Linked DNA regions of Anolis sagrei. The protein of the gene in region 1 purifies or fractionates together with the protein of each later gene. This does not show direct contact. Links are inferred from orthologs where the notes say so. Each region holds a gene or a part of one and is shown on either strand. Other genes may lie near its edges. The genes, in order: PPP4C, PPP2R5D, DHX38 and CCDC6.

The links.
Region 2: the proteins of PPP4C (region 1) and PPP2R5D purify together in Homo sapiens (affinity purification with mass spectrometry; 7 studies listed by BioGRID and IntAct, with this or other methods). This does not show direct contact. The link is inferred for Anolis sagrei from reciprocal best matches to the Homo sapiens genes PPP4C and PPP2R5D.
Region 3: the proteins of PPP4C (region 1) and DHX38 purify together in Homo sapiens (affinity purification with mass spectrometry; 5 studies listed by BioGRID and IntAct, with this or other methods). This does not show direct contact. The link is inferred for Anolis sagrei from reciprocal best matches to the Homo sapiens genes PPP4C and DHX38.
Region 4: the proteins of PPP4C (region 1) and CCDC6 purify together in Homo sapiens (affinity purification with mass spectrometry; 7 studies listed by BioGRID and IntAct, counting the BioPlex papers as one, with this or other methods). This does not show direct contact. The link is inferred for Anolis sagrei from reciprocal best matches to the Homo sapiens genes PPP4C and CCDC6.

Annotation. Positions count from the first base shown.
Region 1 is NC_090026.1:17,473,002-17,480,356, reverse strand, and holds the start of PPP4C (serine/threonine-protein phosphatase 4 catalytic subunit), read right to left. Parts: upstream 3,006-7,355; 5' UTR 2,798-3,005; intron 500-2,797; 5' UTR 492-499; coding exon 394-491; intron 262-393; coding exon 210-261; intron 1-209. UniProt on the Homo sapiens protein: Protein phosphatase that is involved in many processes such as microtubule organization at centrosomes, maturation of spliceosomal snRNPs, apoptosis, DNA repair, tumor necrosis factor (TNF)-alpha signaling, activation of c-Jun N-terminal kinase MAPK8, regulation of histone acetylation, DNA damage checkpoint signaling, NF-kappa-B activation and cell migration.
Region 2 is NC_090021.1:24,508,767-24,516,338, forward strand, and holds the start of PPP2R5D (serine/threonine-protein phosphatase 2A 56 kDa regulatory subunit delta isoform), read left to right. Parts: upstream 1-4,557; 5' UTR 4,558-4,584; coding exon 4,585-4,665; intron 4,666-4,837; coding exon 4,838-4,954; intron 4,955-7,572. UniProt on the Homo sapiens protein: The B regulatory subunit might modulate substrate selectivity and catalytic activity, and might also direct the localization of the catalytic enzyme to a particular subcellular compartment.
Region 3 is NC_090028.1:29,488,352-29,495,342, forward strand, and holds the start of DHX38 (pre-mRNA-splicing factor ATP-dependent RNA helicase PRP16), read right to left. Parts: upstream 3,018-6,991; 5' UTR 2,942-3,017; coding exon 2,571-2,941; intron 1-2,570. Other genes in the region: DHODH (dihydroorotate dehydrogenase (quinone), mitochondrial), read right to left, coding at 5,697-5,751. UniProt on the Homo sapiens protein: Probable ATP-binding RNA helicase. Involved in pre-mRNA splicing as component of the spliceosome.
Region 4 is NC_090023.1:164,695,874-164,702,715, reverse strand, and holds the start of CCDC6 (coiled-coil domain-containing protein 6), read left to right. Parts: upstream 1-3,826; 5' UTR 3,827-4,053; coding exon 4,054-4,371; intron 4,372-6,842.

The DNA.
Region 1 (7,355 bases):
CATGATTATACTATCATAGAATCATTGAGTTGGAAGAGACCTCATGAGACATCCAGTCCAACCCCCTGCCAAGAAGCAGGAAAATTACATTCAAAACACCCCCGGCAGATGGTCATCCAGCTTCTGTTTAAAAGCCTCCAAAGAAGGAGCCTCCACCAGCAGCCCAGCCCCAAAGTACCACTGAACATCCCATGAGCATTTTTACTTACTGTTACTGGGGAATCTACTCTCTGGACATTGCTTTCTTCCACCAAAATCTCTCTGTTGGGGAGAAAAGATACATTATACTTAACTAATTATACATTTCCCAGCTCCAGAACAGAGATGTCCTGGAGGCCAGAGAGGCCATAAATAATAAATAAGAGTTTTTTAAAAATGTCGCCAACTACTCACCTGGCTTTGGCACAGAGGGCTTTGACTTCACTCTCTTTAATGAGTTCACAGCGCCGTAGTTGTTCAATCTGACGGTCAAGGTCACTGATTTCGGCCATCTTTCCCCCTGTAGGAGAAGAATGGATGCAATTCCTTTTTAAAAACATTCCTCGGCCACATTTTATAAAAAGTTTCCATATCAGTATACTAAAGGCCTTGACAATGAATAAAACGAGGACATACAGTAGAGTCTTGCTTATCCAACATAAACGGGCTGACAGAACGTTGGATACGCAAAAATGTTGGATAATAAGGAGGGATTAAGGAAAAGCCTATTATTTACAAATGAAGCACCAAAACATCATGCTTTACAACAAATCAACAGAAAAAGCAGTTCAATACACAGTAAAGTTTTGTAGTAATTCCTGTATTTATGAATTTAGCACCAAAACATCACAATGTATTGAAACATCTGTGGATCCGGGTGGGAGGCCGATTGTGTTGGATAATACAGAACATTGGATTAGCAAAGGTTGGATAAGCGAGACTCAACTGTACATCTATGATGCGCATAAGATAAAACTAAAGACATCTCCAAATAATCCCCTGGAGGATAAACCCTAAATGATAAGAACCCCAGGCATAGGTCCTGTTTCCAGTATTATCTAATTGTTGTAAAGCAGGCATGGGCCAACTTGGGCCCTCCAGATGTTTTGGACTTCAACTCCCACAATTCCTAACAGTCTACTTGCTGGGTTGTTGTAGATTTTTTCAGGCTATATGGCCATGTTCTAGAGGAGTGGTTCTCAACCTTTGGGTCCCCAGGTGTTTCAGCCTCCAACTCCCAGAAATCCCAGCCAGTTTACCAGCTGTTAGGATTTCTGGGAGGTGAAGGCCAAAACATCTGGGGACCCACAGGTTGAGAACCACTGTTCTAGAGGCATTCTCTCCTGGCGTTTCGCCTGCATCTATGGCAAGCATCCTCGGAGGTAGTGAGGTCTGCTGGAACTAGGAAAATTGGGTTTATATATCTACTTGCAGTGAGGAATTGTGGGAGTTGAAGTCCAAAACACCTGGAGGGCCAAACCTGGCTCATTCCTGCTGTAAAGAAATGGAAGAAATATTAAAACAGGCAAACAATCAATCAATCAGTTCTTGTGGGTTTTTTCGGGCTATATGGCCATGTTCTAGAGGCATTTCTCCTGACGTTTTGCCTGGTGAGGTCATCTCTGAGGATGCTTGCCATAGATGCAGGCGAAACGTCAGGAGAAATGCCTCTAGGACATGGCCATATAGCCCGAAAAAACCCACAAGAACTGAGTGATTCCAGCCATGAAAGCCTTCGACAAATCAATCAATCCTTTTATATGAATATTGGGCCTTCCATATTCTATCAGACTGTGACCTCCCCTTCACCCCTGACTAATCGTATGCCTTTTATAGTATTCATGGTCTTATGTCTTTATCTATAAATTTTAACAGTGCCCTGCTTTGAAGAGAGATAAGTAACGAGATAAGTAAAAGAGGTAAGTAAGAGAGATAAGTAAAACGTATATCATTGTTGTTATGAGGTAAGAGTAATGTGAGCTGCAATCCATGAGCATCTGAAGGCTCTCACATTCCCCATTCCATCCAAGAATCCATGAACCAATAACACAGTGGTTCTCAACCTGTGGGTCCCCAGGTGTTTTGGCCTACAACTCCCAGAATTCCCAGCTGTTAGGATTTCTGGGAGTTGGCAACCAATAACACAGTGGTTCTCAACCTGTGGGTCTCCAGGTGTTTTGGCCTACAACTCCCAGAATTCCCAGCTATTAGGATTTCTGGGAGTTGAAGGCCAAAACATCCGGGGACCCACAGGTTGAGAACCACACAGATGGACTTCTACCAGAATGAAGAAGGAAACAGAGGAAAGACAGTCCAACCCAATCCTAATTCTCCTCCTCAATAGTCTAACCCAAGCATGGGCCAACTTGGGCCCTCCAGGTGTTTTGGACTCCAACTCCCACCATTCCTAACAGCCTCAGGCCCCTTCCTTTTCCCCCAGGAAGGGGCCTGAGGCTGTTAGGAATGGCGGGAGTTGGAGTCCAAAACACCTGGAGGGCCCAAGTTGGCCCTAAAGAAAACAAACTAAGCATTCTATGCTGCCTGGGAAGATGGTGGAGTGTCCTTTTCTGGAGGTTTTTAACCTGAGGCGGGCTGGCCATCTGTCGGGGGTGCTTTGATGATGTGCCCCTGCATGGCAGATGGGGGGCTTCTTCCAGGTCTTCGAGACAGTACCCGAGGGGAGGCCTTTCCCCTCCTCCTCCCAAGGCCCCTGACCCCTCCTCCTTCGAACCCCGGTCTCTATGGCAACCCGCCTCCCCCGCCCCTCAACACCAAGGGGGAAGCGAGGCGCATGCGCAGAAGGAGCCTCGCCACTCACTTGGGGTCCCGGCAGAGGCGGTGATGGCTGCTCCGCGGCTCCCTCCGGCTCCGGGCCCGGCCCTTCCCCCTCTCCTCTCCCTTTCTCTCTCTCTCTGCCTCTGTCTTTCCGGCTCTCACTAACTACAGAACACAGGGCGTCACTTCCGCTTCCTCCTTCGACTGAGGCCCAGCTGTGGATGGAGGCCGACTGACTTTCCCCTGATTCCCCCGGAAGTGACATCATTTTCTCAGTTCTCTTCTTAATTCAAGGCAGGGGTGGGGATTTAAAAGGAGCGGAGGAGGCTCCGGAAGTGACGCAAGGGCGGCCTCTCCATGTGTCGCTCAAAATGTCTCCCGGGCCTACTTCCGGTTTAGCTTTTTTTCTCTCTCTTTCTCGACGCTTCCTTGTCATTCCAGCTCTTCCCTCCATGATGTTTCATGTACAGGATTATAGGCGCCCATATGAATGCCAGAGGGATTTTTTTAGGTGTCATTGACACCACTCCTCCAGGTCTTTTGGACTACAACTCCCACAATTCCTAACAGCCTCAGGCCTTTTCCTTTTATAGCGGGTATGGTCAAACTTGGGCCCTCGAGGTGTTTTGGACTCCAACTCCCACCATTCCTAAAAGCCTCAGGCCCCTTCCTTTTCTTATGGTCCACAACAATTGCAATTATGAAAAGCAAAAACTCCTCACACAGGCCTAATATAGGCATGGGCCAACTTGGACCCTCGAGGTGTTTTGGACTCCAACTCCCACCATTCCTAAAAGCCTCAGGCCCCTTCCATTTCTTATGGGCCACAACAATTGCAATTATGAAAAGCAAATACTCCTCACACAGGCCTACAATAGGCATGGGACAACTTGGGCCCTCGAGGTGTTTTGGACTCCAACTCCCACCATTCCCTACAGCCTCAGGCCCCTTCCTTTTCTTATGGGCCACAACAATTGCAATTATGAAAAGCAAAAAATCCTCACACAGGCCTAATATAGGCATGGGCCAACTTGGACCCTCGAGGTGTTTTGGACTCCAACTCCCACCATTCCTAAAAGCCTCAGGCCCCTTCCTTTTCTTATGGGCCACAACAATTGCAATTATGAAAAGCAAATACTCCTCACACAGGCCTACAATAGGCATGGGACAACTTGGGCCCTCGAGGTGTTTTGGACTCCAACTCCCACCATTCCCTACAGCCTCAGGCCCCTTCCTTTTCTTATGGGCCACAACAATTGCAATTATGAAAAGCAAAAACTCCTCACACAGGCCTACAATAGGCATGGGCTAACTTGGACCCTCGAGGTGTTTTGGACTCCAGCTCCCACCATTCCTAAAAGCCTCAGGCCCCTTCCTTTTCTTATGGGCCACAACAATTGCAATTATGAAAAGCAAAAACTCCTCACACAGGTCTACAGTAGGTCTACCTCAGCAAGCGAGAGTCCAAAAGTGGCAGGCTCAAACCCAGCACCTCAATCCATGGGTGATACCAGATGAGAGACTCCCTCCTGGGCACACAGAAGACTGGGCGACTTGGAAGGCATTGAACAGACTGCGCTCTGGAACCACGAGATGCAGAGCCAATCTTAAGAAATGGGGCTACAAAGCTGAATCCACGACATTCAAGTGCGGAGAAGAGCAAACCACAGACCACCTGCTTCAGTGCAGCCTGAGCCCTTCCACATGCACAATGGAGGACTTTCTTGCAGCAACACCAGAGGCACTCCAAGTGGCCAGATACTGGTCAAAGGACATTTAATCAACTACCAAGTTTGCAAAATGTGTGCTTTTTAAATCTGTTTGTTTGTTTTTTTCTGTTAGAAATGTAATACAATGGTATGGTTGCTGATGACATGATAAATAAATAAATAAGTAGGCATGGGCCAACTTGGGTCCTCGGGGTGTTTTGGACTCCAACTCCCACCATTCCTAAAAGCCTCAGGCCCCTTCCTTTTCTTATGGGCCACAACAATTGCAATTATGAAAAGCAAAAAATCCTCACACAGGCCTACAATAGGCATGGGCCAACTTGGACCCTCGAGGTGTTTTGGACTCCAACTCCCACCATTCCTAAAAGCCTCAGGCCCCTTCCTTTTCTTATGGGCCACAACAATTGCAATTATGAAAAGCAAAATCTCCTCACACAGGCCTACAATAGGCATGGGCCAACTTGGGCCCTTCAGGTGTTTTGGACTCCAACTCCCACCATTCCTAAAAGCCTCAGGCCCTTTCCTTTTTCCCCTCAGCCACTTAAGCTGGCCCACGCCTGGGCTACATACATTAAAGTTGCCAGGTTACAGGGCAGGAAAGTGGAGACCAAATCGTACCATCTCGAAGGACCCTTCCACACAGCCCTATATCCCAGAAGATCAAGGCAGAAAATCCCACATCTGTTTTGAACTGGAATATATGGCAGTGTGGACTCAGATAACCCGGTTCAAAGCAGATATTGTGGATTTTCTGCCTTGATATGCTGGGATATAGGGCTGTGTAGAAGGGCCCTAAGGCAAAAATATAGTATCTGCTTATGTTCTTCCTGAGATTTCAGGGGAAAAAGTCAAAACTTGGCTCTTTGGGCAAGCTTTCGCGAATGCAGCGAAACAGGCAAATATGGAACGACTGGACGATGGCATTCTCGGTGGTGGCCTCTGGCCCCCCATCTCTGGAACTCCCTCCCCAGGGAGATTAGGCTGGCACCCTCCCTAGCCACATTCTGTAAGGAATGAAAGATGTGTATGTTTTGTCGTGCTTTCGATTGACGACACCTATGATAAATGACCTGTATCATGACTTGAATTGTCATTCAATTTGATGTCCTATAGTATATTAACTGATCCTGTTAATTTACTCTGTTTCCATGATGTTTCCTATGTCGTTATCCACCTTACTAAACCACTTATGCTTTAACTAGTTCACGTAGTGGTTTTCCTCCCCCTCTCCAAAATTAGTCTGCTGTTATTGTTGTTGCTAGCTATTATTATGTTGTTTTACACTGTTTATGCTCTCGTAATTGTTTTTTGCTTTGTTTTTAATTGTATTCTGCTTTGGGCTTGGACCCCATGTAAGCCGCCCCGAGTCCCTTCAGGGAGATGGAGGCGGGTTAGAAAAATAAAGTTCTTCTTCTCCTTCTTCTTCTTTGTCTTCTTCTTTTTCTTCTTAAAATAGGATTCCATAGCATTGAGCCTTGGCAGTTAAAGTGTTAACAAGCTGAGTGAATGCCACAGTGTAGATGCATTCTTACTCAAGGAATACAGGCAGCCCCTAAGTTACAAACAAGATAGGTTGTATAGGTTAGTTCTTAAGTTTTGGGGTTTTTTTGTGTGTGTCAGGAGCGACTTGAGAAACTGCAAGTTGTTTCAGGTGTGAGAGAATTGGCCGTCTGCAAGAACGTTGCTCAGGGGACGCCCGGATGTTTTGATGTTTTACCATCCTTGTGAGAGGCTTCTCTCATGTCCCTGCATAGGGAGCTGAAGCTGACAGAGGGAACTCATCCTCACTCTCCTCAGATTCGGACCTCCGATCTGTCAGTCTTCAGTGCTGGCAGCACAAGGGTTTAACTCATTGCGCCACCAGGGGCTCCAGTTCTTAAGTTGAATTGGTATGTAAGTCGAAACAGGTTTATTTATTTATTTATTGTGTCAGGGGCAATCATAATTGTATTACATTTCTAACAGAACAAAACAAACAAACAAACAGGCACAAAACAAAATTTGCAAGCTTGGTAGTTGATTAAGTGTCCTTTGACCAGTATCTGGCCACTTGGAGTGCCTCTGGTCCAGAATTCGAAACAGGTACTGTAGGGGGAATGGCTCTCTGGAATTCCTCCTGCTCTCTGCACATTGTCAGGAGTCCCCTGGGCTCAAGAGGATGATGTAATGGAAGACATACCACAAATTGAATACCAACCGTGGAAGCTGTTTATTGAGGGCCTAGCAATAGCGACAGAATGCATGGCCCATAAAAGGTCTGTCACACACCCCCAAATAGGGTTGTAAGGCATTATCACTTTGACAGAGAATTAAATACACATTATCATCAATTAACGATGTCTCTCTCAGTCCATTTTTAGGTATAACTCCAGTCTTGAAAAATTTGGTTTCATCTGGAAACAGTAATTGGGGATGAAACCTTGGTGGAGACACTCCCCCCCCCCCCCCCCCGGTGGTGCAATGGGTTAAATCCTTGTGCTGGCAGGACTGCTGACCAACAGGTTAGCGGTTCAAATCCAGGGAGTGGAGTGAGCACCCGTCTCAGCTCTAGCTTCTCATGCGGGGAAACAAGAAAAAACTCCCACGTGATGGTAAAACATCAAACATCTGGGCATCCCCTGGGGAAACATCCTTGCAGACGACCAGAAGCAACTTGCAGCTTCTCAAGTTGCTCCTGGCATGAAAAAAAGTGAATTTCTCTTCCAAGGTGTAGATTTCACTAATTTCCTGTGGTTTCCCCTATTCTTAACTAGGAGTCATTTGTAAGTCAGATGTTTGTAACTTGGGGACTGCCTGTACTCAGAGATGGTTTGGCCAGTTCCTTCCTCTGAAATAGAGCCTATAGTACCTGGGATTCATCAGTGGTCTCCC
Region 2 (7,572 bases), on another chromosome or scaffold:
TTTTATAGCTTTTTATCGGTTTTTGAACTTTAGTTTTGGTTTGGTTATTTGGGGTGCTGATTCAGAAAATTGCATTGGATAGACTACATCAGCTCTATTTTCTGATCAGAACATATGCGATGCAGTAGTCGCCATCTGCTTGCCCATAGAAAACCATATTTAATAATCCATAGCCAATGTGGTAGTAATAATCTTTTGTGTATAGTCAGCCTCTCCCCTCCCAACATCCCCGTTGACTCGGCACTATAAGAGGGTTTTGCGAGAGCAGTCGCTCTCATTGCTGCGTGGTTTTGAGGCAATGGTGAGGCCACGGACAATACTTTAGGTCTTTTGGACCACTGGTGATCCACGAACCACAGGTTGGGAACCACTGCTCTAGTGGGAGGGGCAGGATTGCATCCCTCCCTGCTGTGTAGACTCATATAATACTGTTAAGAAAATTGCATTGGATAGACCACATCAGCTCTAGCTTCCCGACATCCCTATTGCCTCAGCTCTATAAGATGGTTTAGTGAGACCAATCGTTCTCATTGCCGTGTGGTTTTGAGGCAACGCTGTAGTAATGGTGAGGCCACGGACCATATTTTCATTCTTGCAGACCACTGGTGGTCCACAGATCACAATTTGGGAACCACTGCAGTAGTGGGAAGGGCAAGATTGCATCCCTCCCTGCTGTGTAGTCTCATGCAATCCAATATTTATTTATTTATTTATTTATTTATTTATTTATGGCATTTATATGCTACCCTTCTCACCCCGAAGGGAACTCAGAGCAGCTTACAAGCAAAAATTAAATACAATATATTATTATTATCATACCACAATATTAATATTATATATTACATTGTACTACTGTAATATTAATAGTATTACATTTAATATAAAATATAATTATAATATCATTTTATTAGTAGTAGTATATTGTATTACATTATAATATCTACATTATGTACAATATTTTATATTATATTGAATTATATTATACTATAAGCACAGTGCAGGAGACAAGATGGAACTACCTTTCTGGTCCCTTTCTTCATTCTGATCTCAGAGCAATATGAGTCTTCACTAACATGTAATGAAGTTTCAATCTGCATTATATGGCAGTGTAGGTGGGGTCTCCATTGGCAAATATGGCAGTGTAGATGGGGTCTGAGTTTGCAACCTTTATTTATTTATCTACCACATTTATATCCTGCTCTTCTCAATCTCGAAGTGGACTCATGGCGGCCTTACAAAGGCAACAATCCAATGCCATATATTAATATATTGGTAAATAAACAAAAACATTAAAACCAAACCCATTAAATCATAGCATTAAAACATAAATTAAAATCACATGACCCAACTTTGAAGTAAACTGAGGAGAAAGGGGGACAGAGTAGGAAAAGGTGAAGAAAGGCAGTATGTTTGTAAAGGAGCTGAAAAAGTGGGAAATCAAAATAGTTGGAGGGGTAACAACATATAGAGAGTCTCACAGATGAAATTCAGAGCTACTATATGCAGGATGTACACAGAGTGTAGGTACTGAAGTTGTGAATAAGCACAAAAGATATCCTAAGAATAATGCACATGTCCACATGTGCTGTTATTTAAGACCCGTGGCTGGGGCAAAAGGAGGATCTAAACCAGTGGTTCTCAACCTGTGGGTCCCCAGATGGTTCGACCTTCAACTCCCAGAAATCCTAAAAGCTGGTAAACTGATTGGTATTTCTGAGAGTTGGAGGCCAAAATACCTGGGGACCCACAGGTTGAGAACTACTGATCTAAATAAATGCAATGATAATATTTGTGTAATAGAATATAATGCAAAAAGTGATTGTGGGCCTTCAAGTTCTCTCCAACGTATGGCAATCCTAATGGGAGCTTGTCAAACTGTTTTCTTTGTCTTCTGAGACTGAGAGATTGTGACTTGCCCAAGGTCACCCAGTGGGTTTCCATCGTCGAACAACAAGTTATGCTCCAATGCTCGGGCCTCTACCTCACACTAGCTCTCATACTTAGTACTGCACATTGAAATATATACATATACATATATATACACACACACAGAGAAAGGAATTTGTTTGGGCTTAATTTGCATGCTGAATGCTAATGCCATGAATGTAACATTTCTAGTAGTGGTGGAATACATGCTTCCAAATGAAGAATGTGGTATATTTGATTTTGTCAGATGAGGCTGGAAATAAGCCTGCTGAAAACCCTGGAGAGTCTAGACTGACTGGCAGCTTCTTCCAGGTTTTAGTAGACACTGCTAAACTAGATGGATCAAGGTCTGAGTTGTTGTAAGGGATCTCCCTATGTTTTACTTTTGTATATGGGGAGATGTGTTATGAAACATAGGAGCATGTATGAACAGGGTTGCACTTGATTGCCTGTGCGAATCCATGGCACCACATGCATTATCATTATGAATAAACAACTATAGGTGAATATTAGAGTGTAATAGTCCCATATTTCCAGGATATAACATTACACGGGCCCTACGATTTCCTGCAAAGTATGGATAACATTGCTTACTGTGTTGCTGTGAGTTTTCTGGGCTGTTTGACCATGTTCCAGAAGTATTCTCTCCTGACATTTTGCCCACATCTGTGGCAGGCATCCTCAGAAGTTGTCAGGTGTATTTACTAAAGTGGTGTTAGAGTTCATTTCGCCTTGACTTACAAACTGACCTAAGGATAAGTCCCATCAAATCCTTAATTTTTTTCTGATTCATGGTCACCCAAGTGTGTCATGGGATTCAAACTAGTTAGCTTGCTAGCAGATCATAAGTAACTTACCACGAGGAAGTGATCTTTGAAGTAGATTTCAGGGTTTAGTTTCCTTTTCATTCATTCTTCGCCAACTTCCATTCAGATATGTTAGATGTGGGATAAATAAGAGTTATGATAATACCCAGAAGAGGTCCCTGAAGGTGCATCTACACTGTAGAATTAAAGCAGTTTGACACACTTTAACTGCCATGGCTCAATGCTGTAGGATAATGGGAGGTTTAGCTTTACGAATCCCATGATTGCTGTAGCATTGAACCATGGCAAACTGCAATAATTCTACAATATAGATGCATCCCAGTTGGGAAAGGTAGAGTAAAGAATTCTGCTACTTTTTATAGGCTAGATAGGAACCTCCCTCACCTTGAAATTCCTACCCTTTTGTGGCTAAACCTGCCTGACTTAACTTCAGCCTTCCAGGACTTTGCTTTGTCCTCTCATGGACTGTCTCTTCTACTCACAGGTAGAGTAATAGAGTTGGAAGAGACCACATAGGCCAGGGGTTCTCAACCTGTGGATCCCCAGGTGTTTAGTCCTACAACTCCCAGAAATCCCAGCCAATATACCAGCTGTTTGGATTTCTGGGAGTTGGAGGCCAAACATCTGGGGACCCACGGGTTGAGAACCACTGACAGAGGCCATCTAGTCCAATCTCCTACCATGCAGGAAATCACAGAGTATCCCTGACAGATGACTATCCAGCCTCTGTTTAAAAGTTTCCAAGGAAGGAGCTTCCACTACACTCCAAGGCAGAGAGTTCTACTATTGAACAGCTTGTGCAGTCAATATGTTCTTCCTAATGTTCAGGTGGAATATCTTTTCCTATAATTTGAACCCATTGCTCAGAGTCCTAGTCTCAAGGGCAACAGAAAACAATTGTGCTCTCTCTTCCTTATGACTCCCTTTCACATATTTATACATGGTTATCATGTCTCCTCTCAACCTTCTCTTCTGCATGCTAAACATACCCAGTTCAAGATGCTCCAGATCTTTGATCATTTTAGTTGCCCTCTTCTGGACACCTTCCAGTTTGTTGATATCTCTTTAAAACTGTGTTGCCCAGAACTGGACACACTCTTCTAGGTGAGGTCTAACTAAAGCTGAATAGAGGGGCACCATGATTTCTCTTAATCTAGACCAGTGGTTCTCAACCTGGGGTCCCCGGATGTTTTTGGCCTTCAACTCCCAGAAATCCTAACAGCTGGTAAACTGGGATTTCTGGGAGTTGTAAGCCAAAATACCTGGGGACTCACAGGTTGAGAAGCCACTATTCTAGGTGAGATCTAACCAAAGCTGAATAGAGGGGCACCATGACTTTCCTTGATCTAGACCAGTGGTTCTCAACTTGTGGGTCCCCAGATGTTTTGGCCTTCAACTCCCAGAAATCCTAACAGCTGGTAAACTGGGATTTCTGGGAGTTGTAAGCCAAAACATCTGGGACCCGCAGGTTGAGAAGCACTGATCACTATATTCCTATCTGAGCAGCTAAAAAATCCCATTGGCTTTTTAGCTGCTCACTACAGGTGATACGTCGCAGCTTCCTTAGTTTATTCCCTGACCTTTCTCTGGATCTACATTGCCTAAATAATAGCTTCCTTCCTTCCCAGCATGTCCTTGGTTTGACACATAAGTCCTTTTCCTTCCAAGGAGCAGTTAGCAGAGGCTGGAGAGCTCTTCAAAGGGTTGTATTCCTTTGCAGTTAAAGGGGTGGTTTCCCCCATTCAGTGGGAGGGAAGGGGTGGGCTTAAGAAGTCAGATGCCTTTTCAGAAGGGAAAGAGAATGGATCAGGCCAGGGGCGCTGCTTAGAGGATGCTCAGTGTGTTTCTGTACAGAGACCTTTCTCTTGTCCTGGGAAGAACATCCCTCTCGGGCAGCCACTTGTGGAGCATGGTATGCTATCGAAGTTGTTCCTGGGGGAAATGTCGTTTTTTGTGGTCACTGGAATTCCAGTTTCACAATATTTGTCTCATTTGGACGTGAACCGTAATAAGTCCTTAATGGAGCAACTCATCTGTAAATGCTCTTTCTCTTCTTTGTGTTTCTCTTTCGTTTCATCCTCCAGGACCCTCCAAAATCGACCAAAAGCACTACAAAAGCTAGTAGCAGCAGCAGCAGCAGCAGCAGTGGTAGTGGCAGCAGTGGGACCGGGAAAGATGGCAGCACAGAAAATTCAGAAGAGGTAGGATACTTATTCTGCAAAGGATTATATGTTGTGCATTATATACCGGTTAACATTGAGTTAAATTAAAACTGATTAGCAGGAAGTGTCTGTTTTTGAACATAATTTTTTTCAGGGTGGGGTTGGGAGCAGCAACTGTTGCGTATTGAGTAGACGTGTATGTAGGATTGCACCGTGAAAGTGCTTAGTTAGCTTGCCTGGAAGCAAATGTGTATTGTTGATGCATTTGTTTCTTCTTAAAACAACAAGTGTGTGCACGTCTGTGAGTATACAGATCCAACCAGTAGTCTAAAAGATGAGAGGATTTGTGGCATGTCTTAATGCATTTATAATTGTTTTAATGTATGCTAAATGTATATTATGCTTTGTTTTTATTGTTTGGCACTGAATGGTGCCTGTTGGTAGCCGTCCTGAGTCCCTCTTTGGAAGTGAGAAGGACGGGATAGAGATGCTCCTAATAATAAATAAACAAATAAATAAATTTCAGGATTTTTAGAGTTAGCAACTGAACTCAATAACAAATTTATAATGAGGGGTGGGTAACTGGAGGGTAGAGAGTTGTATTGGGACCTCCTAGAATATATTTCAGAAGTCTCTAATGAAGTAGTGGATATGCAGAAATACTCCATGCTTATAAGATCTTCCAGGCACTTGATTCCCTGCCACTGCTATAGTTTAGGTTGAGTATTTCTTACCTGAAGTGCTTAGGACCAGAAGTATTTTAGATTTTGGAATCCCTGTATTTATGGAGGACAATAGATCATGACCTGTCAGGATTGCTGTCCATTGGCGTATATAGATCATAAACTGTTAAGATCACAACCTAATTATGGTAGCAATTCAGAGTTTATTGTCGGAGGCTTTCATGGCCAGAATCACTGGGTTGTTGTAGGTTTTATCGGGCTATATGGCCATGTTCTAGAGGCATTCTCTCCTGACATTTCGCCTGCATCTATGGCAAGCATCCTCAGAGGTAGTGAGGTTGTTGAAACTAGGAAAATGGGTTTATATATCTGTGGAATGACCAGGGTGGGACAAAGAACTCTTGTCTGTTGGAGCTAGGTATGAATGTTTCAACTGACCACCTTGATTAGCATTTGATGCTAATCAAATTAAAACAATTAAAATTACAACAGCAAAACAACAGAGAGGAAACAATCAAGGGCATCTAATCACTTCTCAACAAAAGATTGCCCCAGGCACTGCCAGGCCATCAAATGCTAATCAAGGTGGTCAGGTGAAACATTCACACCTAGCTCCAGCAGACAAGAATTTTCCCAACTGGGAAACCCATTTTGTGGTGCCAGAACACAGTCTGTTCAGCGCCTTCCAAGTTGGCCAGTTTTTTGTGTGCCCAGGGGGGAGTCCCTCATTTGGTATCAGCCATTGATTGAGGTTCTGGGTTTGAGCCTGCCACTTTTGGACTCTCACTTGTTGGGGTGTTCCAGCAAGTGTCTCTGTAGATCTTAGAAAAATATTTCTTTATTTAAGTCGTTGATGTGCTGGCTGATACCTAAACAAGGAATGAGCTGGAGATAATAATAATAATAATAATAATAATAATAATAATAATAATAATAAACAACTTTATATATAACTTATAGCAGAAGTATGCTAGAGGACCTAGAAAATGGTCAGAAAGGTCAAATTTAGGCATTGCTCAGTTCTCTAGCATAACTTTGGTCAACTTCCAGTGCACCACCTCGAGAATCTTGGAAAGGACATATTTTGTTAGAGATTGGTAAATGAAACCACAGGTTGCAGTCCTGGATATATGGGAATCATACTGAATTATTATGAATTGTTTGCATCTCATGGGAGATATAATTAAGTAGAGTGAGAGCAAAAACCTGTGGAAAGTTAAAGGAACATAAAAGAGCAGTCTGGTCCAATAGTTTGTTTATATGCTAGTTACTAAAGGACCAAGTGGCATGCAGTTTTAGTGGCAAATAAATTCAAGGAATGGGGCATGGTTTAAAAGAGACATACTGAGATAATTGATTGTGACACAGAGGAGTAGCATTTTGCAGACTTTCTTTCATAGTCTGCGCATGAATAGCAAGGTGTTAGATTCCACCCCCGTTGCTGCTGAAACTCAAGTAATTGTTAATATCTCTTATCTATATCTGCAGAGCACAAAAGATCAGAATATTTGTTCTTTTCTTCAGCTTGTAGTGAAAGGAATACTACAGCATTCTGTATCAATGCTAAATATAATACTACATCTTTACTACAGGTAGGGTATGCAACAGGTGTATTACAATTGAGTATGAGACCATGTGCACTGCAGAATTATAGTAGTTTGACACTTCCACTGCCAAGGCTCCATCGTATGGAATCCTGGGATTTGTAGTTTGTTGTGTCACCAAAATTATCTGACCGAGAAGGATAAATATCTCACAAAACTACACATTCCAGAATTCCATTTCATGAAGCCATAGCAGTTAATGTGATTTCAAGCTGCTATAATTCTGCAGTGTGGATGCAGCTGATATATAAATGGTCACGATAGTCTCTTTGATTTCTTTCTCCTGAACCTTTTAGAGGGGTTTGTAGCTTATACAGTTCTCCTGCTGCTGCTCAGTGGCTGCTTTCATTTGTCTCTGGAGAGTCGCTCT
Region 3 (6,991 bases), on another chromosome or scaffold:
CAGGCTGTAAAGAATTGTGGAAGTTGAAGTCCAAAACACCAGGAGGAAGGGCCGAAGTTGGCACAGGCCTGTTGTTGAATCTTGGGAGTTGGGAGACTTCAAAGCAAGAAAACATTATCTGAGTGTACCCAACAGATGTCCATCCTGCCAGCTCTATTTTAAAGCCTACAGAGAAGAAAATCAATAGAATGATAGAATCCTAGAATTCGGAAGAGGCCCGAGGTGCCATCCAGCCTGACTCCTTCTGTCACAAAGAAAGACAATCTAAGCACCCCTGACAGACAGCCATACTGCCATAGATGTGGTAAGATACGATTCCAAGAGACGGATAGATGAGCATGAGAGACAGATGTTATGGGTATATCGTAGAACAGGCCTGGAACAAGTTGGGTCCTCCCTGCATGCGATTTGGACTTCCACCATGTAGGAGCAGAGGAAACAGGCTTCGGAGCATTAGTGGAGTTTGGGGGAAATAGACATTGACATTTGGGAGTTGTAGTTGCTGGAATTTATAGTCTACCTACAATCAAATAGCATTTTGAACCCCACCAATGATAGAATTGGGCCAAACTTCCCACACAAACCCCCATAACCAACAGAAAATACTGGAGGGATTTGGGATGAATTTCAATAGTGATTTAGAGAAGATGTAGTTCACCTACATCCGTAGAGCACTATGAACCCAAACAACTATGCCAAAGGAATTCCTAAGACCATCAGAAATATGTGTTTTCTGATGGTCTTTGGTGACCCCTCTCAAACCCAAATGAAAAAGTATTCTGAACCCCACCAATGAAAGAATTGGGCCAAACTTCCCACACATAACCCCCATGAAAAATAGAAAATATTGTGTTTTCTGATTGTCTTTGGTGACACGTCTGACAACACCTCCCTCACGACCCCGCTCCCAGGGGGCTTGACGCCCAGGTTGAGAAATGCTGTTTTAAAGATTTCTTTTTAAACTTGCAGTTGAACATCAGGAAGAACTTCCTGACTGTAGGAGCTGTTCAACACTGGAACACTCTGCCTCAGAGACTGATGGAAGCTCCTTCTACAGTGGCTATTAAACAGAAGCTGGATGGTCATCTGTTGAGAGTGTTTTGATTGTGCTTTTCCTGCATGGCAGGGGGTTGGACTAGATGGCCCAAAAAAGGAAACACCATCAGAGCACCCCGACAGATGATTACCATGTAGATGTAGACCAGGTCTGGGCTGTTTGGGCCTTCCCTCCAGGTGTTTTGTTGGACTTCAACTCCCACAACTTCTAACAGCCTCTGGCCCTTTCCTTCTCCCCCTCAGCCGCTTAAGCAGCTGAGGGGGAAAAGGAAGGGGCCTGAGGCTGTTAGAAGTTGTGGGAGTTGAAGTCCAAAACACCTAAAGCTCAAACGCCTGAGGGGGAAAAATGACAGGGACCCAGGCTGTTAGAAATTGTGGGAGTTGAAGTCCAAAACACCTGAAGCTTAAGCGGCTGAGGGAGGAAATGAAAGGGCGTGAGGCTGTTAGAAATTGTGGGAGTTGAAGTCCAAAACACCTAAAGCTTAAACGCCTGAGGGGGAAAATGAAAGGGACCCAGGCTGTTAGGAATTGTGGGAGTTGAAGTCCAAAACACTCGAAGCTTAAGTGGCTGAGGGGGAAAAGGAAGGGGCCAGAGGCCGTTAGGAATGGTGGGAGTCCAAAACACCTAAAGCTTAAACGCCTGAAGGGGAAAATGAAAGGGACCCAGGCTGTTAGGAATTGTGGGAGTTGAAGTCCAAAACACCTGAAGCTTAAACGCCTGAAGGGGAAAAGGAAGGAGCCTGAGGCTGTTAGGAATTGTGGGAGTTGATGTCCAAAACACCTGAAGCTTGAGTGGCTGAGGGGGAAAAGGAAGGGGCTTGAGGCTGTTAGGAGTTGTGGGAGTTGAATCCCAAAACACCTGAAGCTTAAGCGGCTGAGTCTAAAGCTTAAACGCCTGAGGGGGGGAAATGAAAGGGACCCAGGCTGTTAGGAGTTGTGGGAGTTGAAGTCCAAAACATTTGAAGCTTAAACGCCTGAGAAGGAAAATGAAAGAGACCCAGGCTGTTAGGAATTGTGGGAGTTGAAGTCCAAAACACCTAAAGCTAGAAGCTAGAGCGGCTGAGGGGGAAAATGACAAGAGCCTTAGGCTGTTAGGAATGGTGGGAGTTGAAGTCCAAAACACTCGAAGCTTAAGTGGCTGAGGGAGGAAATGAAAGGGCCTGAGGCTGTTAGGAATGGTGGGAGTTAAAGTCCAAAACACCTGAAGCTAGAGCGGCTGAGGGGGAAAATGACAAGAACCTTAGGCTGTTAGGAATGGTGGGAGTTGAAGTCCAAAACACCTGAAGCTTGAGTGGCTGAGGGGGAAAAGGAAGGGGCCTGAGGCTGTTAGGGATGCTGGGAGTTGAAGTCCAAAACCCCTTAAGGGAAGGCCCAAGTGGGCCCAGACCTGGCCTAGATTAACAACATTCGCCTCAGACACTGATAGGAATACTCTGGATGGCATAGGGAAGGCCCAAGTTGGCCCAGGCCTGCTCTGGAAGTTCTCTCTCTTGTTCCTCCGAAGCCTGGCTCACCGCTCCCTCCGGGATCCTCTCCCCGCGCCGCCTCCGCCTCCGTCCCTCTCCTCCTCCTCCTCCGCCGCTTCCGCCTCTCCCTCTGGGCGCTGCTCCTGCTGTGGCTCCGAGGCCCAGTCTCCGTCGGAGGAGAGCCGGGCCCGCTTGGTGTTATTGGCGGCCTGCTCCTCCTTCTCGCGGCGCTTCTGGGCGGCCAGGAGGTCGAGGCCTAGCAGCGAGGCCCTCGGGGCCGGGACCTTGAAGACGTGCTGCTCCTCGGCCGCGCTCCTCCGCCTCGCCGCCGGCAGCACCAGCCCGCCCGCCTGCGCCCCCGGAGACAGGCCCTCCAGCCGGTGCAGCGACGCCTCCTCCGCCGCCTCCGCTTCGCCCATCTCCCCTCAAGACCGGGCCCGACGCTGGCCGGGCGCCGCCATTGCCCGACCCACAATGCCCCGCGACGGAAGGCGGGACTTCCGCCTCGGGGAGTGATTGCCAAGCCAGACCGGAAGAGAGAGTCCCTGCTGGGTTGTTGGAGGTTTTTCCAGGCTATAGGGCCATGTTCTAGAGGCATTCTCTCCTGACGTTTCGCCTGCATCTATGGCAAGCATCCTCAGAGTTGTGAGGTCTGTTGGAACTAGGAAAATGGGTTGATATATCTGTGGAATGACCAGGGTGGGGCAAAGGACTCTTGTCTGCTGGAGCTAGGTGTGAATGGGTTGTTGTAGGTTTTTCCGGGCTATAGGGCCATGTTCTAGGCATTCTCTCCTGACTCTGGTCTTGTCCCACTCTGGTCTTTCCACAGATATAGAAACCCATTTTCCTAGTTCCAACAGACCTCACAACCTCTGAGGATGCTTGCCATAGATGCAGACGAAATGTCAGGAGATAATGCCTCTAGAACATGGCCATATAGCCTGGAAAAACCTACAACAACCCATTCACACCTAACTCCAGCGGACAAGAGTCCTTTGTCCCACTTTGGTCTTTCCACAGATATAGAAACCTGCATCTATGGCAAACATCCTCAGACGTTGTGAGGTCTGTTGGAACTAGGAAAACGGGTTTACATATCTGTGGAAAGACCAAAGTGGGACAAAGGACTCTTGTCTGCTGGAGCTAGGTGTGAATGGGTTGTTGTAGGTTTTTCCGGGCTATATGGCCATGTTCTAGAGGCATTCTCTCCTGACGTTTCGCCTGCATCTATGGCAAGCATCCTCAGAGGTTGTGAGGTCTGTTGGAAGTAGGAAAGGGGTTTATATATCTGTGGAAAGACCAGGGTGGGGCAAAGAACTCTTGTCTGTTGGAGGTAGGTGTGAATGTTTCAACTTGCCACGTTGATTAGCATTTAATGGCCCTTGCAGCTTCAAAGCCTGGCTGGTTGCTGCCTAGAGGACTCCTTTGCTGGGAAGTGTTAGCCGTACCTGGTTGTAAATAACAGTGAGTAAAGAGCAACACTCAGAAAGCAAGGGAAATCCAGACAAGAATCAATCAGGGTATAGTACAATCTAGTAATCTAGAATACTAATATTGTGCTATGCTAATAATATATTATATGTACATATAATACATACAATCTCCCCATATTTTATGTAATATTAATATTATATGTACATACAATATATTGTTAGCATAGCACAATATTAGTATTCTAGATTACTAGATTACTCATTTATAATATTGTAACATAGTAATATTAATATATTAAATATAATGATTACTGATAGTATCTAATATATAATGATATACTGTTTTATTATTGTTTTTGTATTATTTACTAGCCATCCCCTGCCACGCATTGCTGTGGGCCACATGGGGGTTCTGTGTGGGAGGTTTGGCCCAATTCTATCGTTGGTGGGGTTCAAAATGCTCTGATTGTAGGTGAACTATAAATCCCAGCAACTATAACTCCCAAATGCCAAGATTTTATTTCCCCCCAAACTCCACCAGTGTTCACACACTGCCACTTTCAAAAAGCTGCGCCGTGAAGTGATAGTTGGCTCCGCCCCCGTTGCTATGGCAACTCAGCTCAAGCTACCAGCCACCATCTCTAACAAAATATAATCCTACATACTTACCATTTATTAACTACTGTTTAAACAACACATAACCATAAGAATAAAAGTTACACATCGTCACAACTATGCTAGCAATATAATATATTGTATGTATGTATGTATGTGTGTATGTATATATATATTGTAAGCCGCTCGGAGTCCCCTTCGGGGTGAGAAGGGCGGCATATAAATGTCATAAATAAATAAATGTATATTTGTATGTTTTAAGCTGTAATGTTTTTGGTTGTGAGGCACTTGTACCCTCTGTATGGAGAGATAAAGTGGGATATAAATAAATAAATAATAGATAATTATTGTGTGGGGATAAATCAGGCATGGGCCCTCCTTCAGGTGTTTTGGACTTCAACTCCCACGATTCCTAACAGCCTACCAAGTTGACACATGCGTGGGATAAAATCACGATGGCAGTAATGATGTGGGCTTATGCACTGAATGAAGGGAAGCCAGAGGTGTGTCATCTTCCTGCCCCTGTTTCTGAGCTCCAGAAACAATGCTTAGCAATGGGGTCCTTCAACCAACCATCACACCATGTTTGAACCAAGAGTCAAGCCCTTTATTGAAACGGTCACCAAACCGAATGGCCTGAAGGAGAGAGTCTGCCTTTGGGGACAAGGAAGCGCTGGCCTCTACATAGGATAGTGCCTTCCCTCCAAATATCGTGTCCCAAGGCTCCTGGGTGCAGCACAGCCCCACTGTCCCCACTGAGGCTGTCAAACAGGGAGAGGAGGCACTGACAGGGCTGAATGGATGGCTCCTCCTGAGCCTGACTGCCTCCATGCTGAAGAGACATAGATTCCTTTGCCCCTTGTGCTCCCCCCATGATCTCTGATCGACGATGCAAAGTCCAGTCTGCTTAGCTGAGTCAATCTTGTTCTGAGCTGTGAGCTTTGACTGTCAGATTGCAGGGCTCCCACTTGGGATAGGCTGCCAAAGGGGAGGATGTCTGTTTCTTCCACTGCACAGGTGCTTCCGCAGAATGGGGAGCAGCCAATCCACAAGCTTCAGAAGCCCCCACTGGGCATCTGGGACGAAAGGCCTCCCTGGGTCCACAGTAAGGTCTCAGCGAGGCTCCTCAGAGGCGGTGGTCCGCACCCACGGCCTCCTGGACACTCTGGAATCCCTGCTCCCTGGGGAAAGCAGGAGGAACAGGGGCTGAGCCAAAGCTGGCCTCCTCAGAAGAGACCTGGCCCTGCATTCCCTCCTCTTGAGAGGAAGTGGGAGGATTATTCATCCACAGAACATGCAGAAAAGGAGGAGGGGACGTCAGCAAAAAAGCCAAGGCAGAGAGCAAAGGACTAGCTAGAGGGGGAAGCAGGGATGGGAAGCCAGGAGAGCAAAGGGTCAAGGCAAAGCAGGGACAGAAATGGTTCTCTTCTCTGTGCTTCAACAGGGCCACTGGAGAGATCAAGGCCATAGAATTGGGGGGGGGGGGGGTTTGAACCTCTCCATAGCTCCCTGCCTACATCCCACTCCTGTTGCTGCTTTCTGTGATCCTCATGCCTTCTCCATGACTCCGTTCTCTCAGAAATATTAAAAATTAACTAGGTATTTTTAATTACACAAATGTAAGTCAAGCACTGAAAGGGTTAAATGGATGCATTGACTCAGGAAAAGCTGCTGTTCAATATAAGTAACTGTAGCTTAGTAGCACTCAGTCTGTGGGTTACAAAGTCGGGGATTCCATCTGAACATTAGGAAGAACTTCCTGATTGTGAAAGCCGTTCAGTAGTGGAATTCTCTGCCCCGGAGTGTGGTGGAGGCTCCTTCTTTGGAAGCTTTTAAACAGAGACTGGATGGCCATCTGTCGGGGGTGCTTTGAATGCAATTTTCCTGCTTCTTGGCAGGGGGTTGGCCTGGATGGCCCGTGAGGTCTCTTCCAACTCTATGATTCTATGTCTCTGTGGGAGAAGGGCCTCAGTGTGAGAAGGCCTCAGTGTGAGAGAGGCGTCAGTCTGAGAGAATCCTCAGTATGAGTAGGCTTCAGTGGAAGCAAGGCCTCAGTGTAAGGTAGGCCTCAGTTTGAGAAGGCCTGGTGTGAGAAGCTGCAGTGGAGAAGCCCCAAGTTGAAGGCCATTGTGTGTGAAAGATACTGTGCATAAAAAGCTATTGTGTGACGCTCCTATGTAAGTTTGGTGTGAAATCAAAGCTGTTTATCTGCATGAGAAAGAAGTCCAGCATGGAAGTAAAGAAGGAAGTGTAACGAACTTTATTTGTATTCTGGAACTTCGTTCTTGTAAATAGTGAAACTATATTAGTTTGCTATAAAGAAAAGCCTCTGTGAAAGGAATAACATTGGTCTTTGTGTTTTTGTTCTCGTAAACACTTTGGGCTACTGGTGCTGGGCCACACTGCTGCTAATAAGTTACT
Region 4 (6,842 bases), on another chromosome or scaffold:
TTGTCTCACCCTGGTCTTTCCACAGATATATAAACCCATTTTCCTACTTCCAACAGACCTCACTACCTCTGAGGATGCTTGCCATAGATGCAAGCAAAACGTCAGGAGAAAATGCCTCTAAAACATGGCCATATAGCCCGGAAAAACCTACAACCCAAATAAATTGTTCTCCCACTTTCAGTGTTACAATATCTATTTTCTTTTTCATTTCTTTAAACAAAACCCTAATAAAATATTTTTTTAAGAACTTCCTGATCCTGAGTTGTTCCACAGTGGAACTCCCTGCCTCAGGGTGTGGTGGTAGCGCCTTCCTTGGAGGTTTGTAAACAGAGGCTGGGTGGTTATCTGTCGGGGGTGCTTTGATTGTGCATGTGGTCTCTCCCAACTGCATGATTTGATGACCCTAATATATTTTCAACAATTATTATTATTATTAAACTTTATTTGTACCCCGCTAGCATTTCCCGAAGGACTCAATGCGGCTTACAAAGGCCAAGGCCTCAACACAACAACAGCAAACAATAATACAATACAAAGCAAAAATTAAAACATAAGCAATGACAAAAACATTACACTATTACACGTGCAATAACAGTGTAAAAAGAGCTATATCCTCTCATTCCAATCCTCATCCGTTTCATCGTCTTGGCCGTTCCTGGGTCATTCTCCATCTCAAGCTTGACTATTCCGGGGTTCCGAATGCCTGCTCGAAGAGCCAGGTTTTCACTCTCTTACGAAAGGTCAGGAGGGAGGGGGCTGATCTAATATCCCTAGGCAGGGAGTTCCACAGCTGAGGGGCCACCACAGAGAAGGCCCTGTCTCTCGTCCCCGCCAAGCGTGCTTGCAAAGCAGACGGGATCGAGAGCAGATGATCTTAACTTCCTGGAGGGTTCGTAGGAAGAGATGTGTCCGGATAGGTAGGCTGGGCCAGAACCGTTTATTGTGTGGTTTCAAGTCGTTTCAGACTTAGGTTGACCCTGAGCGAGGGCCTGGTAAATGACCTAAATGAGGGCCTTAGTTTGGGGATCCCTGACCTAGAGCTTTGGAAAGCTACCATCTCAAAGCTCCCTGCTTGAGTGGTGATGGCACGATCATCAGCATAGATGAAACTCTCTGTCCCTTCTGGCAGTGGCTGGTCATTTGGGTAGATCAGGCAGCCTCAAACTGCGGACCTCCAGCTGTTTGGGCCTCCAACTCCCAGAATTCCTGACCACTGAACAAGCTGGAGGGCTGCAGTTTGAGGATGCCTGGTGTAGATGTTCCGCCATCTGTTTCCGCCATCTGCAAGAATACTCAATGATGGTGGTGGTGGCAGGGCCGTAGCCAGAAAAATTTTTTGGGGTGGGTTGACAATTTCGGGGGGGGGGGGGGTTGAAAATTTTGGGGAGGGTTGAAAATGGGGGGGGGGGGGGGTTGAAACCTGCCTCCTAGCTCACGCTGAAGCAAAGAGCACAGCAGAGGGCAGTTGTTGTTGTTGTTCATTCGTTCAGTCGTCTCCGACTCTTCGTGACCTCATGGACCAGCCTACGCCAGAGCTCCCTGTCGGCCGTTACCACCCCCAGCTCCCTCAAGGTCAGTCCAGTCACTTCAAGGATGCCATCCATCCATCTTGCCCTTGGTCGGCCCCTCTTCCTTTTGCCTTCCACTTTCCCCAGCATAATTGTCTTCTCTAGGCTTTCCTGTCTCCTCATGATGTGGCCAAAGTACTTCAACTTTGTCTCCAGTATCTTTCCCCCCAGTGAGCAGTCGGGCTTTATTTCCTGGAGGATGGACTGGTTGGATCTTCTCGCAGTCCAAGGCACTCTCAGAACTTTCCTCCAACACCACAGCTCAAAAGCATCGATCTTCCTTCGCTCAGCCTTCCCTAAGGTCCAGCTCTCACATCCGTAGGTTACTACAGGGAATACCATGGCTTTGACTAGGCGGAACTTTGTTGCCAGTCTGATGTCTCTACTCTTCACTATTTTATCAAGACTGGACATTGCTCTCCTCCCAAGAAGTAAGCGTCTTCTGATTTCCTGGCTACAGTCTGCATCTGCAGTAATCTTTGCACCTAGAAATACAAAGTCTGTCACGGCCTCCACGGTTTCTCCCTCTATTTTCCAGTTGTCAATCATTCTTGTTGCCATAATCTTGGTTTTTTTGACATTTAGCTGCAACCCGGCTTTTGCGCTTTCTTCTTTCACCTTGATTAGAAGACTCCTCAGCTCCTCCTCGCTTTCGGCCATCAGAGTGGTGTCATCTGCATATCTGAGATTGTTAATGTTTCTTCCAGCAATTTTCACCCCAGCTTTGCATTCATCCAGCCCCGCACATCGCATGATGTGCTCTGCATACAAGTTAAAAAGGTTGGGTGAGAGGATGCAGCCTTGCCGTACGCCTTTCCCAATCTTGAACCAGTCTGTTGTTCCGTGGTCAGTTCTGACTGTTGCTACTTGGTCCTTGTACAGATTCCTCAGGAGAGAGACAAGGTGGCTTGGTATGCCCATCCCACCAAGAACTTGCCACAATTTATTATGATCCACACAGTCAAAGGCTTTAGAATAGTCAATGAAGCAGAAGTAGATGTTTTTCTGAAACTCCCTGCCTTTCTCCATTATCCAGCGGATATTGGCAATCTGGTCTCTCGTTCCTCTGCCTTTTCTAAACCCAGCTTGAACATCTGGCAACTCTCGCTCCATGTAAACCAACCAAGAAGGCAAAATGGTTGTCTGCTGAGACACTGGTAGTAGCCCAAGAAAGGAGGAAAGCAAAAGGAAACAGTGAAAAGGGGAGATATGCCCAGTTAAATGCGCAATTCCAGAGGTTAGCCAGAAGAGATAAGGAACTATTTTTAAATAAGCAATGCATGGAAGTGGAAGAAGACAACAGAATAGGAAGGACAAGAGACCTCTTCCAGAAAATTAGAAACATTGGAGGTAAATTTCAGGCAAAAATTGATATGATAAGAAACAAAGATGGCAGGGACCTAACAGAAGCTGAAGAGATCAAGAGAAGGTGGCGAGACTATACAGAAGATCTGTATAGGAAGGATAACAATATCGAGGATAGCTTTGACGGTGTGGTGAATGAATTAGAACCAGACATCCTGAGGAGTGAGGTTGAATGGGCCTTAAGAAGCATTGCTAACAACAAGGCAGCAGGAGATGATGGGATCCCAGCTGAACTGTTTAAAATCTTAAAAGATGATGCTGTCAAGGTGATGCATGCCATTTGCCAGCAAATATGGAAAACACAAGAATGGCCATCAGACTGGAAAAAATCAACTTATATCCCCATACCAAAAAAGGGAAATGCGAAAGACTGCTCAAACTTCCGTACAGTGGCCCTTATTTCTCATGCCAGTAAGGTAATGCTCAAGATCCTACAAGGAAGACTCCAGCAGAGGGCAGAGCAACCTTCAATAGCCTGCTCCACCCCTGTCAACCACCTCCACCAAGTCTGGCCTCCTTAATGAGAGCATTCAACACACACACACACCCCAACTTGGTTGCTTCACTACATCGGCTATTGCTGCAAGTAATGACAGTGTGAATAAATTGTCAATATTTGCTTGAGATAGTGCTTACAGTTCTGGAGGGACTCTTAATTTTTTGCATTTCATAGACTTAGCATGGGGATTTGGTTAACCAGTTAAAATTCATGAGTAAAGCAGGTTTTTTTAAAAAAAAATTGAAACATTTCGGGGGGGGGGGTTGAACCCCTAAAACCATCCCCTCGCTACAGGCCTGGGTGGTGGTGATGTCTGAGGTCTCCTTTTGGCGGAGCTGGTGCTGCAGTGCCACCATTGGCGGGTGGCGGCGCTGTGGGTAGGGCGCGAGGCGGGCGCGAGGCGGCGCCGGCCTTGGCTTCTCGGCGCCGAGCGCGCGCGGCTTCCCAAGGCGCCGGGAGCATGCGCAGTGGTGGTTCTCCTCCTCCTTCTCCTCAGCGGCGAGCTCCTCCTCCGGCCCTGGCTGCAGCCCGCGGAGCGGCGAGGCGAGGCGAGGGAAAGAGGCAGGCGGAGGCGAGGCCGAGCCCAAGGCGCTCTCGGAGCGGCCCCGCGCTCCCTCCAGGATGGCCGACAGCGCCAGCGAGAGCGACACGGACGGCGGGGGCGGCGTGGGGGCTCCGGGCGGGGCGGCGCCGCCGGGCTGCCCGTCCTCCTCGCCGTCCTCCTCCTCCTCTTCCTCGGCGGCGACCTCGTCCTCGGCGGGCCCCCCCAAGGCGGGCGGCATCGTGATCTCTCCCTTCCGCCTGGAGGAGCTGACCAACCGGCTGGCCTCCTTGCAGCAGGAGAACAAGGTGCTCAAGATCGAGCTGGAGACCTACAAGCTCAAGTGCAAGGCGCTCCAGGAGGAGAACCGCGACCTCCGCAAGGCCAGCGTCACCATCGTGAGTGCGGGGGGGGGGGCAGGGGAGGGAGGGGCGCGGTTGCCAGGGAAACGGAGCTGGGGAGGGAGGGGCCTCTCCTCAGGTGAAACCTTTTGCTCTTCCTGCCGTGGCTCTGGAATCCTGGGAGCTGTAGTTTTGCAAGGCCTTGACCCAAACACCTCCCCCCAAGATTCATAGAATCATAGAACCGTAGAGTTGGAAGAGACCTCCTGGGCCATCCAGTCCAACCCCCTGCCAAGAAGCAGGAATATTGCATTCAAATCACCCCTGACAGATGGCCATCCAGCCTCTGTTTAAAAGCTTCCAAAGAAGGAGCCTCCACCACTCTCCGGGGCAGAGAGTTCCACTGCTGAACGGCTCTCACCCCACCAAACCCTTCCAGTATTTTCTGTTGGTCATGGGAGAACTGTGTGCCAAGTTTGGTTCAATTCCATCTTTGGTGGGGATCAGAATGTTCTTTGATTGTAGGTGAACTATACATCCCAGCAACTACAACTCCCAAATGACAAAATCAAATTTTTTGAGTGAAGGACATACATTAGGTTGTTAGGTGTCCAAATTTAGTGTCAATTCGTCCAGTGGTTTTTGAGTTCTGTTAATCCCACAAACAAACATTACATTACATCTTAACACCTCTCAACAGGGGATTTTCCCAGGCTCAGCCAGGCCTTCAAATGCTAATGAAGGTGATCAGTTGAAACATTCACACCTAGCTCCAGCAGGGAAGAGCTCCTTGCCCCACCCCAGCCATTCCACAGATATATAAACCCATTGTCCTAATTCCAACAGACCTCACTACCTCTGAGGATGCTTGCCATAGATGCAGGCAAAACGTCAGGAGAAATGCCTCCAGAACATGGCCCTATAGCCCGAAAAAAAAACCCCACAAGAACCTAGAGATTCCAGCCATGAAAGCCTTCGACAATACATTACATTTTTATTTATATAGATTGCTCTTAGGATCAGATCCTGGGATATAGGGCCTGTCTGGAAGTGTTATGGGCAAGCTGTTGTTTATTTCTAGGGCAGCAGAATCAATGCAGTCTGACAAACACACACACACAATGAACTGCCATGAATCTACAAACTACAAGAGAGGAGATTCCATCTGAACACGAGGAAGAACTTCCTGACTGTGAGAGCCGTTCAGCAGTGGAACTCTCTGCCCCGGAGTGTGGTGGAGGCTCCTTCTTTGGAAGCTGAACGGCTCTCACAGTCAGGAAGTTCTCATGTTCAGATGGAATCTCCTCTCTTGTAGTTTGTAGATTCATGGCAGTTCATTGTGTGTGTGTGTTTGTCAGACTGCATTAATTCTGCAGCCCTAGAAAGAAACAACTGCTTGCCCATAACACTTCCAGACAGGCCCTATATCCCAGGATCTGATCCTAAGAGCAATCTATATAAATAAAAAGGTAATGTTTGTTTGTGGGATTAACAGAACTCAAAAACCACTGGAAGAATTGACACCAAATTTCGACACCTAACAACCTAACGTATGTCCTTCACTCAAAAAAAATTGATTTTGTCATTTGGGAGTTGTAGTTGCTGGGATTTATAGTTCACCTGCAATCAAAGAGCATTCTGAACTCGACCAACGATGAAATCAAACCAAACTTGGTACACAGAACTCCATAACCAACAGAAAATATGGGAAGGGTTTGGTGGGCATTGATCTTGAGATTTGGAGTTGTAGTTCACCTACATCCAGAGAGTACTGTGGACTCAAACAAGGATCTGGACCAAAGTTGGCACAGATACTCAATATTCCCTAGTGTGAACACAGGTGCAGTTTGGGAAAAACAGACCTTGACATTTGGGAGTTGTAGTTGCTGGGATTTATAGTTCACCTATAATCAAAGAGCATTCTGAACCCCACCAACAATAGAATTGGGCCCAACTTCCCACACAGAACCCCCATGACCAACAGAAAACAGTGTTTTCTGGCAGTCTTTGGTGACCCCTCTGATGACCCCTAGGTTGAGAAATGCTGCCATAACACTTCCAGACAGGCCCTATATCTCAGGATCTGATCCTAAGAGCAACAGGGGAATTCCAGGCAAGAATCAATCAGGGCCAGCTAATATCTCCCAACAAAGGGTCCCCCAGGCAGGAAGCAGCCAGGCTTTGCAGTGGCAAGGCCATTCAATGCTAATCAAGCTGGCCAATGAAGCCCCCGGTGGGGCAGTGGGTTAAACCCCTGTACTGGCAGCACTGAAGGCCGACAGATTGCAGGTTCAAATCCAGGGAGAACACAGATGAGCTCCCTTTATCAGCTCCAGCTCCTCATGCGGGGACATGAGAGAAGCCTCCCACAAGGATGATAAGACAACAAAACATCCGAGCATTTCCTGGGCAACATCCTTGCAGGCAGCCAATTCTCTCACACCAGAAGCGACTTGCAGTTTCTCAAGTCATTCCTGACATGACAAAAAAAGCTGGCTAATTGCAGCATTCACACTTGCCTCAAGTAG